Linked DNA regions of Alligator mississippiensis. The protein of the gene in region 2 purifies or fractionates together with the protein of the main gene of each other region. This does not show direct contact. Links are inferred from orthologs where the notes say so. Each region holds a gene or a part of one and is shown on either strand. Other genes may lie near its edges. The genes, in order: AP3D1 and RNF13.

Region 1 (11,146 bases), on a different chromosome or scaffold from region 2:
TCCAGATACAGAACCACGTGTCTGGAATAATTAGGTCCCTATTATGATGGCCCAGAACAGGCACACGATACACTTGCATCGTATGTTTTTGTCGCAGATCAATTCCACGTCTCCTGTTAATCAGGTGTACTGCAAGTGCACACAAAACAGAAACCTACTGTGAGAACTTACTCTGTATACCATAAAGGTTACCTAGCAAAGAGTACCACAAAGTTTTATTCTAGCCACAACTTCTACTTGAAGAACACGTTTCCTAAATGAGCCAAGAGAGGCCGAAAGGACGTGAAGACAGAACAGGGCAGGTTATTTGCCTTCCCTGTTTGCAGGTCTTCTTTTTCCTAAAATGCTGTACTGGTAAAACAGAAAAACTGCAGGGATTAGAACATAGCTGCATATATTCCTTAAAAGTAAAGCTGACCTGCTGAACTAGCAAAGTGTCTAATACCTTTATGCCACCTCATCCCAGCACAGGGGGGAAAAATCGTGCTGTTGCAATAAGTTGCTCAAGAGTCTCCAGAGTAGCCATTGATTTGGGGTATGTCTTCACTGCAGAGGTAGCTCAGGCTATGACTTGGGTGCTGCCCCCCTCCCTTATTCAAATACAAAAACCACACACCTGAATTTGGTGGTATTGTAAGCCCAAGCTACCTGGCTTGGCTTTGGACAAAGCCTAGAACTCAAGGACTGTTTGCATTTCAGGAGAGAGCCACCCCCTTTGTAACTAGGATGTAGGGTTATCACAGGAGTGCCGACAGCCCTCCCAAACCTTCCCACAACTTCTCCCCCTGCCCAGGACAGATGCTCTCACTGGGAAATAATCAATACCTCAGTTTCTTGCAGGATAAAGCACCATGTAGTGTGCTCATAAACGCACTAGCAATACCAGGTGAATGTGGTATTAATGAGAACACAATAACTCAAGCCCAACTACAGTGGGGCTGCTCACACCCAGATGTGAGTGCCAATCTCCCAAGCTAACCCTGCAGTGAAAACGTATCCTTGGTGTTTGTCAGGGGAACAGAGATACTAGTTTAATTAGCCTGTGTGAGTGATGGCAGATGACAGCTCCTGCAAAATGCGGAGCTGCCCTAGTCAAAGAAAGGAGCTAATGAGGTTTATTTTAACCAGAAGATGCTGTGCAGCCTGACAAGAAAAAAAAAAAAAATGTGGTTTCCTGGCATTTCAGTAGATTGATCTTAAAGGTAACTCGTTCTCTAGAAGGTAAGTATCAGTGCACATAATAGAAGTTAACAAAGAAAGGATTGTGCTATAGAAAGTATATCGAAGCACTCAGATAACAGCCAAGACAATTCCTTCATTTCATTCAGATATTTTTATTTAACATCCGCAGTACGCTCTGCACAGAAGTTGCTAATTCATGGAAAGACGAAGACAGGCGGAAATGTAACCAGCCCCACAACATTCTCTTGCAAACTTCACCAAAGTTTTCCTTACATATTTAAAATAAAATGACTCCAACTTTAGGAAGTAGCTGGCTGGTAACAGTTTGCTATTACACAGGTCCTGCTTTGGCAGAACTGGAGGAAAATAACATGATGCCAGTCATTAATGCTACACAATGAAGGCAGAGGGAATCTAAGCTCTGAAAGCCTTTCAATTCTAATAGAAGCACTTTCATGTTCCTGCTCAAAGCAGTGAGAAGCCTGCTCAGGGGAACAGCCAGTATGTCAGTTCTCCTAAGTTTTGCATCTCACTGAAAAGTAATGAGATAAGTAAAGCCCAAATAACCGAGCAGGGCATACTTAGTTCAAAATACTGTATGGAAACCCATGAAACTGGCTTCTAAAAACAAAACAGCTTTATCAAGCAGGACAGCAGATAGAAAGATCTCTTATGTTGAATGATGAAGTCATACTTGCTAGACATTTTTTAAAGGGGTCACTGCCTAACATCTCTTTTCATGGTTGCCACTGGTACAGTACTACTCCCAGTGCAAATAGGGGCTTAAGTTATGACTGAGATTTTTGAAGCTTGTTTAATACAGGCAATTAACTCCCAATGATGTTCCAAGAGATCTGGATGCCTAAGCTCTAGTCTTGCAAAAGCATGATGTAAAACCATGAAGAAATCTCTTCAGTCCCCGCAGAGCAAGACCTAGTGAACTCCATTTCTAGGGAGTTTTGTCCAGCAGTATTTTAGTAAAGAAAGTTTAATGGTCCCATGCATTATGATTAGTACAGACAGCCTGACTTTAGACAAACCTGCACAAAGAAAGAAGGAAAAGCCATTTTAAAATATTTCCTTACTTTTTCTACATAAAGACTTTTGCTAACATATCCTACCAGTTCTGCCCCTAAATAGCAGCAACAGTCAGAAGACAAGTAATGAAAAATGTTAGATGGAAAAAATCCTAGACAAGGCCAAGAAATTACCTCTATTTATAAAGCTAAATGTTATCAAACAGCAAATACAATGACTGACAGTGTTTTGGAGAGATTCAATCTTCAATCTGACCTTTAGACTAGGAGTTTTGAGACAAGACAGTCTTATGATTTACCACTAGACTTATCAGTGTCTCAGGGATACTTCCTAAAACTTTATAAATAAAGGAAGAGCCTTCATGGCTACTATTATTAAATTTAGATTACATTGCATTGTCACCTAAATACTGAAAATCACTCATATCACTGCCAGTTGTGAAACTTTGTTTCAGTCCCTAGCATTTGAGCCCCACTTAGCTTTGGGTAAAACTGTTCTAAAATCACCTGAAGTGGGAGAAGGAAGACAAAATGCTTTGCACTGTTCAGCCCAGAGTTACGGAATGATTATGTAGCATCTTTAACAGTGTCCAAAGGAAGCATATATTATGGAGGATACACAAAGAAACACAGTACCATTAAGAAACACACAATTCAACTGATCATGCATCCACACAACATATGTGGCTTTATACTGAACGCACAGATGCCAGTGAAAGGAGTTACTTGCCAAATATTTATTTCAGAACTGAAAACAATACTCAGTCCTGCCATAAAGTCTTGGGCAGTGTTTTTTGACTTTTATGTTAAAAAACAAAAAAAGGCTCCCCTTGGCAAATACCAGCTCTTAACTTTCACTTGTTTCTTGAGTCCAGAAAAAAAGAAGCAATTCTTCTGTTGCAAAGAACTCAGAAGACCACAACAGATGAGGATGTTTCTGACATTGTGGATTCCTATCTGAAATCTCTGGGTTTATCTGGTGCATCAGATGTAGGCGTCTGCATGCTTAACAGTTTTAATATTATGCAGCACCACAGAATCTGCAACACCCTGGTTGAGAATCACTGGCCTAGGGGCAGCATCAGGATCCTACGAGCTTTCAGACTATCCCCCCAGAGCTAAGAGAAAAATTTACAGTGCATATATAGTATACAGTGCTCAGTACCTTACTGGGCCTAACTATACACTAGGACATTGAAATCCACACAGAATTAGACAAGCACCTGCTGTATATCTTCAATTTTGAATGGAATAACAAAGGCTCAACGAACTGGAGCTAGACTGTTTTCAGTGGTGACAGATGACAGACCAAGGAGCAAGGGGCTTAAGTTGCAGCAAGGGAGTTTTAGGTTGGATATTAGGAAAAGCTTCTCACTAGGAAGATGATTAAACACTGGAACACGTTACCTAGAGAGGTGGTGGCATCTCCATCCCTGGAGGTTTTTAAGGCCCAGACTGACAAAGCCCTGGCTGGGATGATGTAGTTGGGACTGGTCCTGCTTTGAGCAGGGGGTTGTGACCTCCAACCCTGATTTGCTACAATTTCTATAATGAACTGCACCAGCACAGTAAGGAGGTATGTGTTCACATAACATACTTTTAAATATATTTTTGACGTGATTTAATGAAAGCTGTTGCTTTCATTAAATCCAAGAGGTTGCTGGTTGTTTTGCTGTGAGGGGCTCTGCACAAAAAAACAGCTGTATCTTCTTACGCTATCAGTTCAATACCAAACAGCCTTTAAACTGCATTATGAAATGGAAATGTTCAGACGTAGACACCTCCGGTAGACACCGTCACACACTGTAACATATCAGCGTGTGACAATCAAGTCTGAAGCTATCTGAAAGTCAAACGTTTACGGAGAGGTATACCGCCTTTCATCCTGACAGCGGCAGCGAGGTAACAATATCCTACACAACCCAGCTGTAGTTTTCCCAACCGAAACATACGACTTACGAACACAACCTATGATTTGACTGCGTGTAAGCGACAGCTTTCCCACAGCCGAGACCACCTTGAGATTTCATTCTATCCTGATGTTACAACGAAACACTTCTGCCTTCCTCCCGCCGCTCCGGGACATCCCGAGCTCCCCGGCTAGACGCTCGTTCACGCGCCATCACTCAGGGAAACGCTTCACAAGAAACTTTCTAAAGCTACGTCTGGACTCCAGCGGCTTCCTCCGCATCCCGACCCCCACAATTCGACCGGACCATTTTCTTCTCCGATAAGCCCGTCCTCCGTGCCTCGTTCTTGGCTTTCCATCAGGCTCCCCCCCGCCCCAGACGGCTCATCAATAATCGACCAGAAAATATCGAGTGGTGACATCCAAGTCCTTTTCACCTTAAATCAACCGACGGACGGACGGACGGAGACCCGGGGGAGCGCGGCGAGGGGATACGACGGAAGCAGTTCAATTACACCTGAACCCATTTCCCTCAGGCGTCCACCTGCCCCCCACGCGCGGTCCCGGGGGTCTCCCGGGGACGAGGCTCCCCCTCACCACGGCCTTCTGCTGCCTTCCTCCTTTCCAGCGCGGCCTGCATCTTCCCCGCCAACATCCCCTTTCCCGCACCCGCCGGAGGGGGGGGCTGAGGCCTCCAGACACGGGCTGCAGAGGGGCCGGAGTCGGCCCCGGCCCCGGCTCACCTCGTCCTCCTTGTGGTTGCGGATGCCGCGCACCAGGTCCTGCAGGTTCTTGTCGAACATGCGGTCGATGCTGCCCTTCACCATCTTCAACGCCATCGCGGCGGCGCCGGGGCCTGCGCTCGGGCGGGGGGAGCCGGAGCCGGGCCCGGCCGGGGGTTGCTGCTGCTGCTGCCGGGTGTCTGCGGGCGGGGCGCTCACATCCCGGGCGCCGCCGGACGGCCCGAGCCCGCGGGGCGGAGGAGAGGCAGGAGGCGGCGGCGGGAAGCGCGGTGTCTAGCTGCAGGCTCCGCTCGGCCTCCGAAGCCCAACAAAATGGCGGCCGGTCAGCTGAAGCCTCGGCCCCGCCCCTCAGCCCTAGCCACACCCACTCCGCCCTTGCCCCGGCAGCCTTTTAGCCGGCCTCCATCCCCTGCGCCCTCTAGCCCCGCCCCTACGTCCTATAGCCCCGCCCCTTTTCCACGAAGGCAGGCGTCACTGTTCCCTCTGCCCCGTAGCCCCGCCCCCTGGGGAATCTGGCTTCCATGTCACGTGGCCGCCGGCGCCCGCGGGAGGTGGCACGTGATCGCTTGGAGGAACGCCCCGGCTTACGTGGCTGGGGGGGGGGGTTTGCTCACGTGACACCAGGGTTGTGGCGCGAAGCTGCAACCCCGGGGCAGTGACACCGTGCAGACGTGCGCCTGGAGCGCGTCCTCCCCAGCACGGGGCTGGGCCCCACAGAAAAGGAGCGCTGCCCAGGGGTTCCTGAGGAGAGACAGGCAGGGCAGGGCTCGGTCTGTTCCCTTGGGAAAAGAGACGCTGGAAGGGGCATGAGGGGCTTACAACAGTGGCTTCTTTGCTTGCTCCTGTGGCCATATGGCTGAGAGCAGGCGAAACTTGGGGGCATCTGAACCACCAGGCTAGGGCCTGCATGTAGGACGCTCGCCAAAAGATTTTGGAAATACATGAAGCCCCAGGTGGGAGTGGAGGATGTTTGCTAGTAGTAGGGCCACTTATGGCTCTGGACTGCCTCACGGATTTGGACTTGATTTGGATTGGAATATGAAAACATTCTTAAAAAGAAACCAGAAAAGTTCCCAAACTGGGGTTCACAACCCTGAATTCGGTGGCAACATCAGCAGATGGGGCTGTGGGTTGGGAGTAAGGGGGGTCATAAATGGGGTCATCTGAGGAAAAGCTTGGGCAACATTGGCTTCTCAACCTGGAATCACAGAAAAAGAGCAGAAAAAGACGTCAGGGGGTCGCATCTAGTCCAACCCCCAGCCCAAAGCAGGACCAGTCCCAACTGCATCACCCCAGACAAGGCTTTGTCTAGCTGGGTCTTCAAAATCTCCAAGGATGGAGACTCTGCCACCTCCCCCTTTGGTGTTTCACTTTCCTAGGGTGAGAGTTTTTCCTAATATCCAAACTAAATCTCCCTCGCTGCAACTTGAGCCCATTGCTCCTTATTCGGTCATCTGCCCCCACTGAGAACAGTCCAGCTCCATCCAAGTTGGACCTCCCCTTCAGGGAGGTGAAAGCTGCTATTAAATCCCCCCTCAGTCTTCTCTTCTCCAGGCTAAATAAGCCCAGTTCCCTCAGCCTCTGCTCACAAGTCATGTGCCCCAGCCCCCAAAACATTTTTGCTACCCTCTACTGGACTCTCCAATTTGTCCACATCCTTTTTGCAGTGGGGGGCCTAAAACTGGGTGCAGGACTCCAGATATGGCCTTACCAGTGCTGAATAAAGAAGAATAATCAATGCGCAAACATAACAGTGAAGAGAAAGTTCATATGGATTTAAAATTGATTCTCTCCCAAGACAAGAACAAAGAATCACAGCACAGAAGAGGAAGCAGTCCATTTAAAATAAACACAAGGCAGAATTTTTTCCACCCAGCGTGTCATTAAAGGGGGGAACCCATTGCCACCAGATGTGGTGGAAGTTGACTATTGAGCCAGATTCTACGTGGACTTGGGTGCGTTCTTGGAGGAAAGGGGTATTAGTTGCTATTGAGGGGGTATGACCTCTGAATCATAACTTCCTAGACTCTAAATGCTGGAAGCTGCAACTGAGAGAGGAACAATAGGAAAAACCTGTAGTCAGACGCAGACAAAACTCTTGGGCTAAAGGTGATATCTTTTATTAGACCAACTAAATAGCAGCAAAAAAAAATTCTTTGCAAGCTTTCGGGTCCAAACATCCTTCATCAGGCAGAGGGTAAAAGTTCTCCCAGGTAGAAAAGAAACTTCATGTTGCACAGGGGGGGTAAAGGGTGGTGTGGTTCCCCTGGCTTTCAAAGACCCTTTTTTTAAAAGTTGCTCTGTGAATATGCAGGTTAGGCAAGGACAAAGCTCCAGCAGGTTTCTTCCCTGGAGGTGTCAGATGGGGAGTTGAATTCTGCTTATTTCCTGTATAGCAATGGAGTTTACATTTCACTTTCAGCATCTCTTCTTTGCTGCTGTTGATACAGGAGACTGGGTTAGATGGACCTGCGGTCCCATGGGCTGTATATTTGACAACCCCTCTCCCAGTAAAGGATTACTCTTGCCCCCTTTCAAGTCAAAAGAAAAACTCATATTTATTTGAATGGGTGAGAAACAAGCCTTGGAGGATTGTGAAGGCTCTTGGTTGGCAGAGAATCTGTAGTGAATCCTCTAGGATGGTGCTTCTCAACCAGGTGCTACTAGATGTTTTAAAGGGTGCTGTGAGGTGTGAGGAGATAAGTGAGGTGTTAGGAGATAAGCAGATAATTAAGTAGATAAGCACAGGCTCAGGCTTGTTGCTGCCTGGATGATCCCCACCCATCCTCACTGCCAGATCCCTCTGCAAGGAAGTAAGCCCTGTAATCTGTAAATTAGTTTTTTAAATTCACTCAATTCACAAAAGTTATAGCGGGGTGCTTCAAGTCCAGTGAGGGGTGGCTCAAGTTCGAAAATGCAGAGAACCATTGCTTGAGGAAAGTCAGAATTCACATTCCTGAAGAACGTGACCTGAAGAAGAATGCATTGCATTAAAAGGGGTTTCTAAGTCTGCGCTAACCGTGCAGCTGGTCCAGTGAAAGATACCAGCCCCAAAAATCCGTTCCTGCTATTCCTAATATTTAACAATGTTGGGGATAAAATGAACCCAGTGTTTCTTTGGTTGTGTAGATCACAATTAAACATATAAACTGCAGACTACACAATTTAGGTGCAGAACTCAATCTGGGTTTCAAACGCCCCAAACTTTGAGTACCTAGGGGATTTGGTTCCTGTAAGAATTGGGCCATGGACTTTCCTATTTGCTTCAGCCCATTCTAAAGATCTGAGCCAGAACCAAAATCTTAGAGCCCTCCATCTCCAAACTTTGGAGGGCTTAAAATCTGCTTGGGAACAGCCTTAATTAAAACCCTAATCCTAACTGTAATCATTGTTATTTGTCAACATCCAAGGACCTTCACCTTCACAGCTCTGGATCACGTTGTACCCATCTAATGTTAGCACCGATGTTACGTTATAAATAATGTCACCTTCTGATTTTGCCGACATAACTTTTTAGCAAGCGTTCTCTGGAGATAAATGCAAGGCATTAATGCCAGTACAGTATCTCCTCCCACCTCCGTCCCATCCTCTTCATATTTCAGTTACAGGCTCCAGTATGAGCAATTCAACATTTGTAGGAAGACTCTGAGTCTTGCAGTTATAACTCAACGGAAAAAAATACCAAATGCATAATGAGTTCTGGTTTTCTATTTCTCAGGATAATGGGAACATCGAAAGTATGACAATTATAAATCATTAATTTTCTGATAGAGATGGGCCTGAGTTAGTGAATTTAGATCCCAATCCAGTTTTTTCCCCAAGTTCAGGAACATATGGCCTCCATCTTTTGGTTCAAGGCCGTATCTTATATTGTGTATGTAGTATGAAAATTCCACCTGGAAGATCAGATTGGATCTTAGCTTTAATTTAAATTAAACACCAGTCTTTAACAAATAAATAAATAACGCTCAGTTAAAGGCAAGAGGCAAATTATCCTGGCCTCTTGCATATTGCTTGGACTATCACACATATAACATCACTCTGACATTACCACTCAGTTAACTAAGTGATTTGAGCAAATAACTCATATATGATTTATTAAAACAAAGGATCAGATAAATTAGAAATAAGAAATTCACGTAAGAAAAGGCTGATGAGGTCTCAATTGGATTGGTTTGCAATATTTCAAATGTTGCTATTTTGATTTAGAAGTGGGGAAGGGAGGGGAATAGATATAGCTTCTGCTATAGTTTTCCCCATGTTTTGACCCATAGTCCCATATAATCCCTCTGTTCATCCAGTTCAAAATGATTCTCTATACTTTTCTATCTGGACCTTTCTCCAGTCTAGCTTAAAATGGACCGGATGACTTTATCAGTTATGTAAATTGATATCCCCACGTAACCTGATGTGCAAGAAAGAACATGAAAGCAGCAATATTAGGATTGAAGGTTAAAATGTGATCTTCCACAAAAGCTGCATTAGGGCTGTCATCCAACAAACCACTTAAACATGTGAGCAACTTTGGCAATGCAAGCAGACCCATGGCAGACAATAGGATTGCTCCCCTGCTTAGAGATGCACACATCCTTAAGTGCTTTGCTGGTCCAGTGCCTAATTCCTTTGATAGGCCCTATTGAAAAATGTGTTGTATGATCACCATGACATGGTTAATTTCTAAAAGTCTGCTGCTTCTAGGAACAGTGAGTGTCCAACTCTCTGAGGCAGTTGACACGTGGCAGATGTTAGTCTCACAGTTTACCCAGTACTGGAAGGTGCTCGGGTATTACAGTGAGGAGCGCAATATGCAAACTAGAAGAGAAGAGGTGATGGAACCTAGCACTAACCAAAGAGAGTTTCATTAACTCCTGAGGGCTCAGGTAGACATGCTGCTGTTACACAGGTGTCAGGCTTGGATAGAAGGGTTAAAAGAGGAAATAGTGCTTGGCTGAGGAGAGCAGACCTACAGCTGGGCCCAGGAACTGTCAGTCAGAGTCCCCCTGAAGAAAGGCATGACAGGTGTGGGACTGCTGCTGTTTTGAGTGGCTGCTGTCTGACGGAGCCTCTCCTTGAGCAAAGCAATTCTCTATGGAAGGTAGGCCAGCTTTTGAGACTTCTTTCGTTTTGTTCCTGAGGATTTGCCTGTGGTTGGACTGAGTGACGTCTGTCTGACAGGGGTGATAGGTAAACCCCCCTTGTCTCTCTGCTTCACACAGATGGCTTGGTAATTGTTTGCCATGAGACCTGGGGTGATGTAGGTCATACTGAACTTGCCTGCTGCTTGGCAATGGTCTATCTCAGGGGCGGGCAATTATTTTGTGCGGAGGGCCACTTGCCAAGTTTTGGCAATGTGTCAAGGGCCACATTTCCCTCTCCAGCACAAGGAAGCAGGAACAGCCCCACAGTCTCAGGCCAGAGTCCTGCGCTAGGCAGGGGCTTCTGGTTGTGGGGCAGAGCTAGATGGGCCTTGCTGCTGGGTCCTGCTGCCGGCTTCCTTTGTGTCCTGCTGCCCCAGACTTCTGTCATCTTTGACAGGCAGCCAGGAGCAAATAAATATTACATTTGCTAAATTTTTTAGGGTCCCCTGGGGCCGGATAGAATGGCCCGGTGGGCCGGATCCAGCCTCCGGGCCATATTTTGCCCACCCCTGGTATATCTGCATCCCTATGGTCTGCTGCCCCCAAACTCTCAACTACCATCAGCTACTTTCGTTTTATCTAACTCTGCTATAAACTGGGGAATAGTCATCTCCTGCACATGAGGAAACTGAGGCCTGGAGACCACGAGGTAGAACCACAAAGGGACAGATGTGCATGAGCCACAGTGCCTAACAGCAGAGAAAGAACTGACCCCTTTGGGTTGTTGCATGGCTAAGCCCATCTCCATTTTTATGAGTCGTACAGGAATAGACACAGATTTGCTGGTCTGCAAGAGACTGTGCAATAGGTTCTCATCATCAAGGGGACAGAAGCAAAGACTTACCTCTCCAAGATACTCCAACCCTACACCAGTGTAAATGAGATCTGAATATGGCTCAGTACATATTAGTAAGGAACAAACATGTTGAAAGCATTTTGTTCCTCCGGACAGCCTACTTCTTCAACCATTACTCACTGGAGCAGGCTGAATTTTTGAAGAAAGCTATACAAGCCCTTATCTTGGGTGGGGAAGGATCATTTACATAAGGAAAAGGGTGCCAGGGTGCAGTTTAATTTCTCTGAACAAACAATCACTTGCTAAGCTGTTCCAGGACTCCTTCGCTCCAGTACACACAG
Region 2 (11,057 bases):
TGGTCGTAGAAGGACAAAAGGTTTGTCAGGCATGTCATCAAAGCCATGCTGGTTGTATTTTAGCACCCCGTCCATTACCAGCTTGTAGTTTATGGCCTCCTTAACCAACTTTTCAAAGACTTTACCCAGGGCCAAGGTCAGACTGACAAGCCTGTAGTTTGCGGGGTCATCCCTCTTCCCTTTCTTAAAGATGGGCACCACATTGGCCCTCTTCCAGTCGTCTGGGACCACCCCTGAGTTCCACATCTCTTCCAACAGCTTGGCTAGTGGCGCTGCTATAAGTTCAGCCAGTTCTTTCAGGAATCTCAGATGCAGGTCGTCTGGTCCAGCAGACTTTAAAATGTCCAAGCATTGTAGAAAATCACTCACCTGTTCTGGGCTGATTTCATGTAGGCTGTTACCTTCCTCCTGTTCCCTGGGCCTCTGATCAGATAAGCAGCCCCTGATGGGTTTCAGGAATACCGACACAAAGTATGTTTACACACATGTTCGGTCTAAAATCTTATTCTAAGTATGAAGAACTGTAATTCAGTACTATCAATGGGAATTAAAGAAGATTTTTTTTTAGATGGAATCAGTATTTTAAGGCTGACTTACCAATTAGAAACATGAAGTTTTGCAATACTACTGACTGACTGGTTGAGCAACAGAGAAAATGAAGTTTCACATTAACCTCTCTGAGAAAATGAATTATGTAATCCAAGAATTTCTGTTCCAAAATAAAGAATTAATTCAACCCTATTACCACAACTTCTCTTCCAGCTCAAAAGAAAAGTTCAAAAATTAAATGTGAAAGAGCAGACATTTAAAAAAAATACTAGTTCTTTATATGTAAAAATACATGTTAAAACCGAGAAGTCAAGCACTCAAAGTTCGGAAATAACAGGACTGAAACTTTACTTGGTCTTAACATGCATAAGGAAATCTTTTCTTGTCTAGCAACAAGCAGAATTAATTTCCAGACCACAATATTGTTCTCAAAGCACAAAAGAATGTGCTTCCTAATTCCTACAGTCAGAAAACACTCCAACTCTACTGTCTTTCATTCCTGGAATTCCTACCTTCAATCACTGTCTATCCTATTAATTGGATGTGACATGCTTCATATATATGGCACAATTTTTTATTACACAGTCATAATGCATAAACTTAAAGGCCGCGTCCAGACACGCGTGGACATTTTGTCCCCGGGGACAACTAGCAGCAGAACACCCTGTGCTGCCGCTAGTTGTTCTCAGGGAATGCCTGTGCCATGTGCACATTGGCGCGCAGCAAGTTACCCAAGGTGGCGAAGGGGAGGCTGGGGCCAGCACTGGGCTGGCCCCAGAAGACTTACGTGGGGTCCTGGAGGCCACCCAGGGCTGCAGCAGTGGTGATCCTACTGGATGGGGGCTGACCGGCAGCGGAGCACAGCTCCAGCCAACCAGGCTCCAGCTTTGGGCAGCACACGCTGTTGCCATATGCACAGCTCCACTTTTTTTCTCTGCAGGTTTTTCAGGGGTCAAAAAAACCTTCTGCACTGCTCTCTTGCAACACAGAGAACAACAGAACATGCGGTAAGTAGTACCGCAGACGTGTCTGTGGCACCACGTCCCACATGGCCACACTCATCTGGACATAACCAAAGAGGCGAAACAAAGCATACCACGAAACAGTAATTCTAGAATTTTCTAACTTCTGAGTGTTAGATTTAGTAATGTTAATCTTTCTTTAAGGTTATTTTTAAATGCATTTTCCTAGGTTTATTTTTTTTAAAGTAGATTGAAAAGTCAGTGGTTCCATTACGCAGAATTACATCCTTTGCAGTTAGATCCTAATCGTAACAGTTTTTCCTATAAATTAGGAGCTCATCAGCTAGAGAACTAAGGAGGAGAAAGACCTACGTGCACTGCCATCACAGGATGACTATGACTACCAAAGTGAAGCTGCATGAAACAATAGCAAAAGTGACCCCAGAATCTATCAGGTAAAATACTGCTAATAAAACTAAGGAAGTATTAATGCCATTGTCCTGTCAGAATTTATCTGAAACATAACATACAGTTCTAGTCATCCACATTTAAGAAAGATGAACTCAAACGGAACTGGCACAGAACAAGGCTACTATATGGCCTGGGGAATGGAGAACCTATCTTGCAAAAGAAAGCTAAAAACAGCTTGTCTTGTTTAGCCTACAAAACTGAAGGCTGAAGGAGATGCAATGATGTTCCACAAATAAAGCTGGGCAAAAGGAGGGACACACCAGAGGGGGAAAAGAACTCTTTAAGCCAGGGCTGCCCACCTAGCAGCCCACAGGCCACATGCAGCCCATGAGGGTTTAAACTGTGGCCCCTTGGGCTCCCATCTGGCCACCATTCTTCCCCACTGCTCTGGTTGCAGCACCAGTTGGGGGCTCCATGTTCTCCCTGCCCCTGCCCAAGGGGGCAGGGTAGCACAGGATGGCACAGACTTCTGTGCCAGGAAATCCTGCAGCCTGAGGTGCCAGTGTCATGGTGCATTGGGAGAGTTCACAGCAAAGGCAAGTCAGGGCATGAGGTGCAGTGGAGGTGTGGGGTCTAGCATCAGTGGCACAGGGTGTACAGTGTAGCAGGGTGGATGAGGAACAGCAGCAGGGGATGCATGGTGCAGTGTAGGGGGCACCCAAGCAGATGGTACAGCAGGATGAGGAGGTAAACCCAGGCAAATGGTGAAGCAAGGAGACTCTAAAGACAGTGCAACAATAGATGTGCTTGGGGGGGTAGGATGCAGAAAGCAGCAGCAAAAGTACTCGTGGTCCAGTGACGGAGGACAGGGCACGCAATCTTTGGGGCCCAAGGCCCCCACTGGCACGGACCCTGCTAGTGAGGCCTGAGAAATGTGTGGCTTGCCAGACACTTAGAAGTTTGACAGCCCTACTCTAAGCTAAAGAGCAATACTGGAATATGAACAAATGGGTATCATGAATAAATTTAGCCTGGAATTTAAAAGGTTTCTAATCAGTGCAGTGCAGAGCAGGAGCAGCCTTCCAGTGGAAGCAGTGAGGACAAAAATCTAACTAGCTCAAAGATGGAGATTGCTCAGTTTATGAAAGGGAATATATTAGTTGGTTACCTATTACAGCAGTGACCTGGCCTTACTGACACAGGAAGTCCTTCCAGTCTTGTCTCCTACATATTCACCCCCCTGGATCATCTGCAGAGCTGGAGCATTAAGATCCACAGCACCAGCAGAAGTTTGTGAAACAGGATTCCTGGGTTCTGCTCCTGGCTCTGGACTGTGGGCCATTACAGAAAACACAGCTTAGCTGGAAGGGACCTTGGAAGATCATCGAGTCCAGCCCCCCGCCCGAAGGGCAGGAAGTCAGCTAGGGTCATAGGATCCCAGCAAGATAAGCATCCAATTTACGCTTGAAGGTGTTCAATGTAAGTGCTTGAACCACCTCCAATGGCAGGCTATTCCAGACCTTGGGGGCTTGGACAGTAAAGAAATTCTTCCTTATGTCCAACCTGAAACAGCCTTGCAGTGTTTACAACCATTCGACAATATTAGTGACTGGGTTCTATTTTCAGTTCTATCAAAAGTAAATGTATACAATCTCTGTTACCTCAACTGTAAAACGGAAAAATCGTTCCATCACGCTCAATTTAGAGGTACGGTATAAAGCTTTGTTCAAAAACGACTACAAAGTAAACAGACTTTTTAATATCAGTCGCGTGGCTCTAAGCCCAGCATCCCTTCTGAGGCCAGAGGGAAGGGCAGTGTTGCTGCTTGCTACTACTATATACAGGTCCTGTCCACAACACTAATTTTATGCCTACTAGAGTAAGAGGCTGCATGGGCCCTGGGAGTACATCCACAGGAGATGGCAATTAGGCACTTCCTGGGACCGGGACTTACTCAGTGCAAGGGGAATGTTGATAGATTGCAGCTGCAAGCTTCTGACAAAGCTCCAGTGAGCCCGGGCAAAACAGTGAGCTGTCAGTGAGTTGTTATAACAGCCACATTTGAGCATGTTGTAAGAGGCTCCTTACTCAAAGCACTAACTCCTTAGCACTAACTGTTAAGCCCATGCCCCTGGTGACAATGAGCTACCTCCAAGAAATTGTTTGTAACTTTAGAAAAGCAGCCTATTTTTCCTCAAACCTTGTTCTCAGAAATGGCTTCTACTGAAAATTGAGAAGTCTGAGGCAGAGACCAGGTTACTAAAAATGGAGCTTATAACCATGATCTACATATAAGAGAGAGGAAGATGTCTGCACTGGGACTGAGCAAATGAAATGGACAGTTTTGGCTGCACTGCATAAGGAACTTCTGACACCAGCGCTTACAAAAGACAGAAACCTGTGTTGCTGCCATTGCTACAGGAAAGTGATGGGTTGTTAACAGGGTGGAAATGTCTGCAGACACTTCAAGAGAGTAAAAAGGTGCTAGATTATGGGTGAAGGAAGGTGGTCTCTCTGAAACAGTTCCTCTGTTAAAATGTCAGCCACACTAAGAAGCCTCCCTTCAAATCCTGTGAACCTCATTTTAGCAGAGAAGTGAGCGCAGACCTCCAGTGGGAAAGGACGCCAACTAGGACGGCACATGTACACATCATCGTTTCAGAGTTGGTAGGATCAGAAAGCACCTGATCAGATCATCTAGTCTGATGCCCTGCCATGGGCAGGAAAGGATGCTGGGGTCAAATGACCCCAGCTAGGTGGCTGTCTCACCTCTTTTTGGAGACCCCCCCAGGGTAGGGGCAAGCACCACTTTCCTTAAAAGTTGGTTCCAGCTCCTAGCTGCCCTGACAGCATCACATGAACCTGTCAAAGGCACCTGCAGCAATCGACCAATTCGGCCCTGCCCCAATGTCCCCAACTTCAGGCGATTTGCAAGAGTTCAGACTCGCCCGGCCACACAGCGAACAGCTCTGCAACACAGCTGCCCCCGGCAAGCCGGAGGAAAACCCTGGGAAACACGGAGTTTCCAGGTGACTCCTGGTCCCCACTTAAAGCTGTGGAGGGGAAAGTGGCCCGGCCGGGGGACGAAGACGCAGCTGAAGGGTCCCGAAGGGCAGAGGCAGGCACCGCATAGAGGGAACGCGGCGGGGTCGGTCCCTGCGGCCGCCCTCTCCAGCCCGGCCCCTGCCTGTACGCGCTGCCCGGCAGCACAGGCGGCCCCAAGCGCAGGCCACGGACGTGCGCCCCGACACACCACCGCCGCCGCCGCCGGGCCCGGGCGGAGCCGCAGCAGGTTCTGCTTTGAGCGGGGAGTCGAGTCGGGCCGGGCCCCCCGGTCCGCGCGGTGCGAGACGGGGGCGCAGGGCGGGGGGAAGGCAGCGCTTACCTGGTCGCTCGCGCGGGGACGAGCAGGACACAGCCTAGGCCGACTCCATGCCCCTGCGCCCACAGCGGCCAGGCCGCTGAGCTGCGCTACGCTGCGCTGCGCAAACCCCGCCCCGGCCGTGCGCAGGCTGAGCGGAGAGGCCACCGCCCCCCGCGCCTGTCACTCGGCGGCCCAGCGCGCCCACGTGACGCCGCAGGGGCCGGGCCGGGCCGGAGCGAGCTGAGGGGAGGGGCCGGGGCTGGCTCCGCCCAACGGCTCCCCTCGGCCGTTTGTTCGGTTGCTCGGCGCCGTCTGTGACGGTACGGCCGTGCGTTGCTGCGCGCTGGGGGAGGGGCGGTGGTGCCGAGTGGTGTCTCCCCGCTTCCGCTCCACAGGGCTGGCCGTGCGGGACTCGCCTCCGCGCCCCGCGGGCAGCTGCAGGCCTCGTGGTGGGAGTTGCCCGTGCTGTCACCTGGCTTGTGCCCAGACCCGTGGGGTTCTTCCGTCACCCGCGCTCCCGCCCCTCTGTGGTGGCAGGAGGCAGGGCGTGCAGGAGTAATTGCCACCCCTGGGAGCCCCTCACTCTCAAAGGAACCCGTACAGGCAGACGTTTCGAGTTACAATGAACAGCACTTGAGACGTTTATAACTTTCCACCCTGTTTTGACTTTCTGACATCGGGGTTTCAACTTCACAACGCTTGATGTGATGCCACGCCAGTGAACAAGTTCTCTGTGTCGCCAGTCTCCCTGGAGAACATCTGTCCAAACTTTCTTGGATGCTTTCTTTAAGAAAGCAGACAAGGCTCCTGAAAAACCTGCAGCCAAGACACCTGAGAAGACTCCAGCCAAGAGCCCTTCAAAAAGTCCAGCAGTCACCTCAAAGAAGTCCTTGCAAATCAATATGATTGCTATTTACAATATAAATGCATTATTGTACCTATATTACTCATCTATAATTGGTCGAGTACAAAATTCTGGGTTACTTTTGGTGCAAAAAGGGTATCGGGCCTTGGTTCAGGAACCAATCCCCCATTTATAACATTGCTCCTATGGGAAAATCAGTTCCGAGTTACAATGTTTGGATTTAAGATGCAGTTTTCAGGAACCAGTTGTGTCGTAAGTCCAAGGACTGCTTGTACCATCAGCCTCTGGGTTCCCCAGCACAGTCTGCCATAGAAACGTGGGGGTGGTTCTTGTCTATGTAATGCCCAGCACAGAGCAAGAGGCTGAGCATGATGAATTATGTAATTCTCAACCAGGGCACTGAGGCACCCTGGGTGTGTGAAATCCTCTGAAGGGTGCCTCAAAGCATAGGGAGGTAAGCAGGGCATGAAGGAATAAGCAGATCAGAGTAGGTTTAGGCTCTCCTTGTCTAGCTGCTCCCCTAGCCCCCGGTTCCTGGCCCCTTCTGCAAGGAGCTCAGCACTGTAATACATCAGTTTGTGAAGCAGTGCTGCTCAGTTCACAACCATTAGGAAGTGGGGTCTTCATGGCTGATGAGGCGTGCCTTGAGTCAAAAGGCTGAGAACCAGTGATCTAGAATGACCTGGATAGACTAGACAAACCGTCCACAACATGCTCTCTGCTTAGGCAACAGAAGGGGGGGGCGGGGCAGAGCACTGCCTTATCACCTATGGTCTGCAATCAATCAGATGAGATTTAACAAGGATAAGAGCAAAGTCCTGCACTTTAGATGGAATCACTGCACGGCACACACAAATACAGGCCAGGGGGCAACTGACTACTCTGCAGTACTGCAGAGAAGGATCTGTGGGTTTACAGTGACTCATTTGCTAAATATGAGCCAACAGTGTGGCCTTGTTGCAAAAGAAAAAAAAGCAGCACGGTGGGTGGTATTAACTGGAATGCCACTTGCAAATCAAGGGAATTGATTCTTCCTCTCTGTTCAGCACTGGGGAGGCGTCACTTGGAGTCCTGTTTCTGGTTTCGGGCCCCACACTTCCAGAACCACATGGACTGTTTGGAAAGAGTCCACTGGAGAACAGTCATTAGGGGCGTGGGAGGCAAGACTTATGAACAAAGGCTGAAAAAACAGATTATTTAGCCTGGAGAAGAGAAGACTGAAAGGGAAGATAACAAACTTCAGATACTTGAATTGTAATTACAAAGCGGATGGAGATGGGCTCTTCCCTGTGGCTGTGGTGTGCAGGACTAGCAGCAGTGACCTCAAGCTGCAGCAGGGGAAATTTAGGTTGGAGAACTTTCTGATGATGAGGGTGGTCAAGCATTGCAACAGACTACCTGTAGAAACTGAAATCTCCATGCTTGAAAGTTTTAAACAGCAAGTTAGACAGACACTTGGCTACCATGATTTAGTTGGGATGATCTTGCCTTGAGGAAGGGGCTGGACTAGATAGACTACCTTTATCTTACCTAGCATAACTTAGTTCTCTCTTAGACTCTATTTTGGAGAGAATGGTCAAGCGGATTTTGCCTTCCTCTATAGTAGGAGGGGACCTGGTGCTCCTCCTCTGATACCTCAAGTGTATTTTAACAACTATGTCCCATTCTTGCAGCAGCAAGACATTGCAAGTGCCCTCATTCCTCTGCTTTACCTGTTGTGAGTTAAGTGGTTCTTGGTGTTTTGGGGCATAGTACCTGGTGGCTGAGAGGGTTCTTCACAGCATTTTAAGAATAGGTTAATCCAGGCAAGATCTTAATAACAGAAGTTCTCTCTCTTCTCTATAGGGTTTCAAGAGAGAAATTCTCAAATGCACATAAGGATTAAAGACCTGTGATTGTGCATGAAAAGCTGGCACTTCCTCCCACAACCAGAACGTTAGGTTTCTTAACTATCATTTAAGCATATCTTCCCTCTGAGCAGAAAAGGGAAATGTAAGAAAACATGGGAATATATACCATAGAACAGAAACCTATGAGTACGTTTGCCATCCCCCTGATGTAAGGGACTGTACTGACTGTTTAAGGCATATGTTGTAGGCTTGTGGTTTTCCTAAAACTGGGAAGGTTTTCCTAGAACAACATATATCAGTGAGAATTAAAAAAGAGCTCAGGAAACCCACGCTTGAGATATGTACAGAAGTTCAGTGCTGACTCTAGTTTTAGAGCCCAAAGGTGAAGTTCCATAGGCAGGGGTCCCATCTCCCCCTCAGTAGTGAGACAAGGCTGGTTCATAATATTTCCCTTCCAGTCTCTGTATGAAATTAAGGACAGCCAAGTTGTTGGAAAATCAAATCCTTCCTAGCAGCCATGTTTGTAGTCCTTGCAAGGTCATCTGAGAAGGATGTATAAATAGCTTTGTTCCCAAAGATTAAGAGGAGACAGTTTGTGCTAATAAGTTTTCCTGGAATATATAAGACAACTGATTTCATGTCTTGGTTTATTTTATAAACCTATGTTTTGGTTGTTTTTTGAAAAGTAATAAATATCTAATACAGCTAGAATATGCTTTTGTTTATATGCTCTAAAGGTCTGCCTTCTTTCTTCAACCAGCTGCAAAGTTTCTGAGTGACTGAATAACTGCTAGAAAAGGGCCTTTAACAAATTTTAAATGATGGTAAATTGCATGCTTTCCAGACACAGTAAATTTCATACTCATGGGCCACTGAGAAAATCATGTCACCTGCTCCCACAAATTCCATATTCCATTTAGGTAAATAACATTTGTGCATCTTCTTGTAGGTCACTGTTTGTTTCCATTCCCCATTTGAGTTAGATTTTTTTTCTTTGCAATGCTTATTTTATATTCCCCTGTGCTTTTTCAAATAGTCACATGGTTCAAAGCAAACAGGTTGGCCAGGCTGAAATGATTCTGGTGATTACTAGGGTTACCGCATATATATAGATCTGTAGGTACAGATCTATAGATATAGATATATGCAGCACCCCTAGTAATCATAGAAAATTAAGGTTCGAAAGGACCTCAGGAGATCATCTAGTCCAACTCCCTGCTCAAAGCAGAACCATCCCCAACTAGATCATCCCAGCTGGGACTTGAAAACATCCAAGAATAGAGCTTCCACCACCTCTCTGGGTAACCTGTTCTATTGTTTTACTACCCTCGTAGTAAGAAAATTCTTCCTAATATCTAACCTAAACTTCCCTTGCTGCAACTTGAGACCATTTCTCCTTGTACTGTCATCTGCCACCACTGAGAACAGTCTAGCTCCATCCTCATTCAAACCTCCCTTCATGCATTCATAGATTCATAGACATTAGGGGCTGGAAGGGACCTCGTGAGATCATTGAGTCCAGCCCCGCCACAATAGGCAGGAAGTCAGCTGGGATCAAGTGACCCCAGCAAGAAAAATATCCAGATTTTTTTTTAAAAAGTCCAGAGTAGGTACTTGCACCACCTCTGGGGGGGGAGTCTGTTTCAGACCCTGGACACTCGCACTGTAAAGAATTTTTTCTTATGTCTAGTCAAAAATCAGCCTTCCTGGAGTGTATGGCCATTAGACCTTGTTATCCCTTGGGGAGCTCTGACGAACAGCTGCTCTCCCAGGTCCTGATGTACCCCTCATATAATTGTAGGCTGCTACCAAGTCCCCCCTGAGCCTTCTCTTTTCCAGACTGAAAAGTCCCAAATCCCTCAGCCTCTCCTTATACGTCCTGCCCTCCAGGCCTTGGATCATACCAGTGGCTCTCCTCTGGACTCTCTCAAGCTTTTCCACATCCCTCCTGAAGTGGGGGGCCCAAAACTGGATGCAGTACTCTAGCTGTGGCCTCACCAAGACCAAGTAAAGCAAGAGGATGACATCCCTGGTTTTGCTTGAGATGCATTGGTAGATGCACGCCAGAGTTTGGTTTGCTTTGCCAACCACAGCATTGCATTGGTGACTCGTATTAATCTTGTGGTCAATCAGGACCCCCAAGTCTCTTTCGGTCGTGGCGCTAGTGAGCGTAGCACTGCCGAGCTTGTAAGTGTGTAGAGGGTTCTTCCTACCAAGGTGCAGCACCTTACACTTCTCAACATTGAAGGCCATCCAGTTTTGGTCAGCTCACCTTGAGAGTGTCCCCAGGTCAACCTGTATCCCCAGCATGTCCTACAGTGTGACCACCCTTCCCCATAATTTGGTGTCGTCCACAAACTTGGCCAATTCACATCTGACTCCCGACTCCAAATCATTAATGAAGATGATAAAGAGTACCGGCCCAAGTACCGAGCCCTGAGGGACTCCACTGGTCACCCTGTGCCACGTTGATTTGCTCCTGTCAACTAGTACTCTTTGGGTCCAACCCTATAGCCAGTTGCCTAGCCATCAGACCATAAGATGATCAAGGCCACAGTTCCCCAGCTTAGCCAGGAGGACATCATGGGGAACTAGGTCAAAGGCTTTCTTGAAATCCAGATATATGACATCCACATCATCTCCTTTGTCCAGGGCTCATGTCACCTTGTCAGAGAAGGAGATGAGTTTGGTCAGGCAAGACCTGCCAGTCACAAAGCCATGTTGGCTGGCCTTCAGAAGCTTGCCTTCTGCTAGTCTGGTGTTGATGGATCCCTTGACAATTTTCCCCAGGATTTTTCCAGGGATGGACTGATTGGTTTATAATTCCCCTGGTCATCCCTCCTCCCTTCCTTGAAAATAGGGACTATATTGGCTCTTTTCCAGTCTTCCAGGACCTCGTCCGAGCACCATGAATTTTCAAATATCTTTGCCAAAGGGGGTGCAATGATGTCTGCCAGCTCCTTCAAGACTCTCAGGTTCATTCCGTCGGGGTCCGCGGACTTGTGAATATCCAGATTCTCAAGGTTTTCCTTTACCCGATCCACTTAAATTTTGAG

What was found.
Region 1: the proteins of RNF13 (region 2) and AP3D1 purify together in Homo sapiens (affinity purification with mass spectrometry; 3 studies listed by BioGRID and IntAct, counting the BioPlex papers as one, with this or other methods). This does not show direct contact. The link is inferred for Alligator mississippiensis from reciprocal best matches to the Homo sapiens genes RNF13 and AP3D1.

Annotation. Positions count from the first base shown.
Region 1 is NC_081839.1:7,180,160-7,191,305, reverse strand, and holds the start of AP3D1 (AP-3 complex subunit delta-1), read right to left. Parts: upstream 5,185-11,146; 5' UTR 4,968-5,184; coding exon 4,872-4,967; intron 1-4,871. UniProt on the Homo sapiens protein: Part of the AP-3 complex, an adaptor-related complex which is not clathrin-associated. The complex is associated with the Golgi region as well as more peripheral structures.
Region 2 is NC_081830.1:61,458,266-61,469,322, reverse strand, and holds the start of RNF13 (E3 ubiquitin-protein ligase RNF13), read right to left. Parts: upstream 5,439-11,057; 5' UTR 5,308-5,438; intron 1-5,307. UniProt on the Homo sapiens protein: E3 ubiquitin-protein ligase that regulates cell proliferation. Involved in apoptosis regulation. Mediates ER stress-induced activation of JNK signaling pathway and apoptosis by promoting ERN1 activation and splicing of XBP1 mRNA.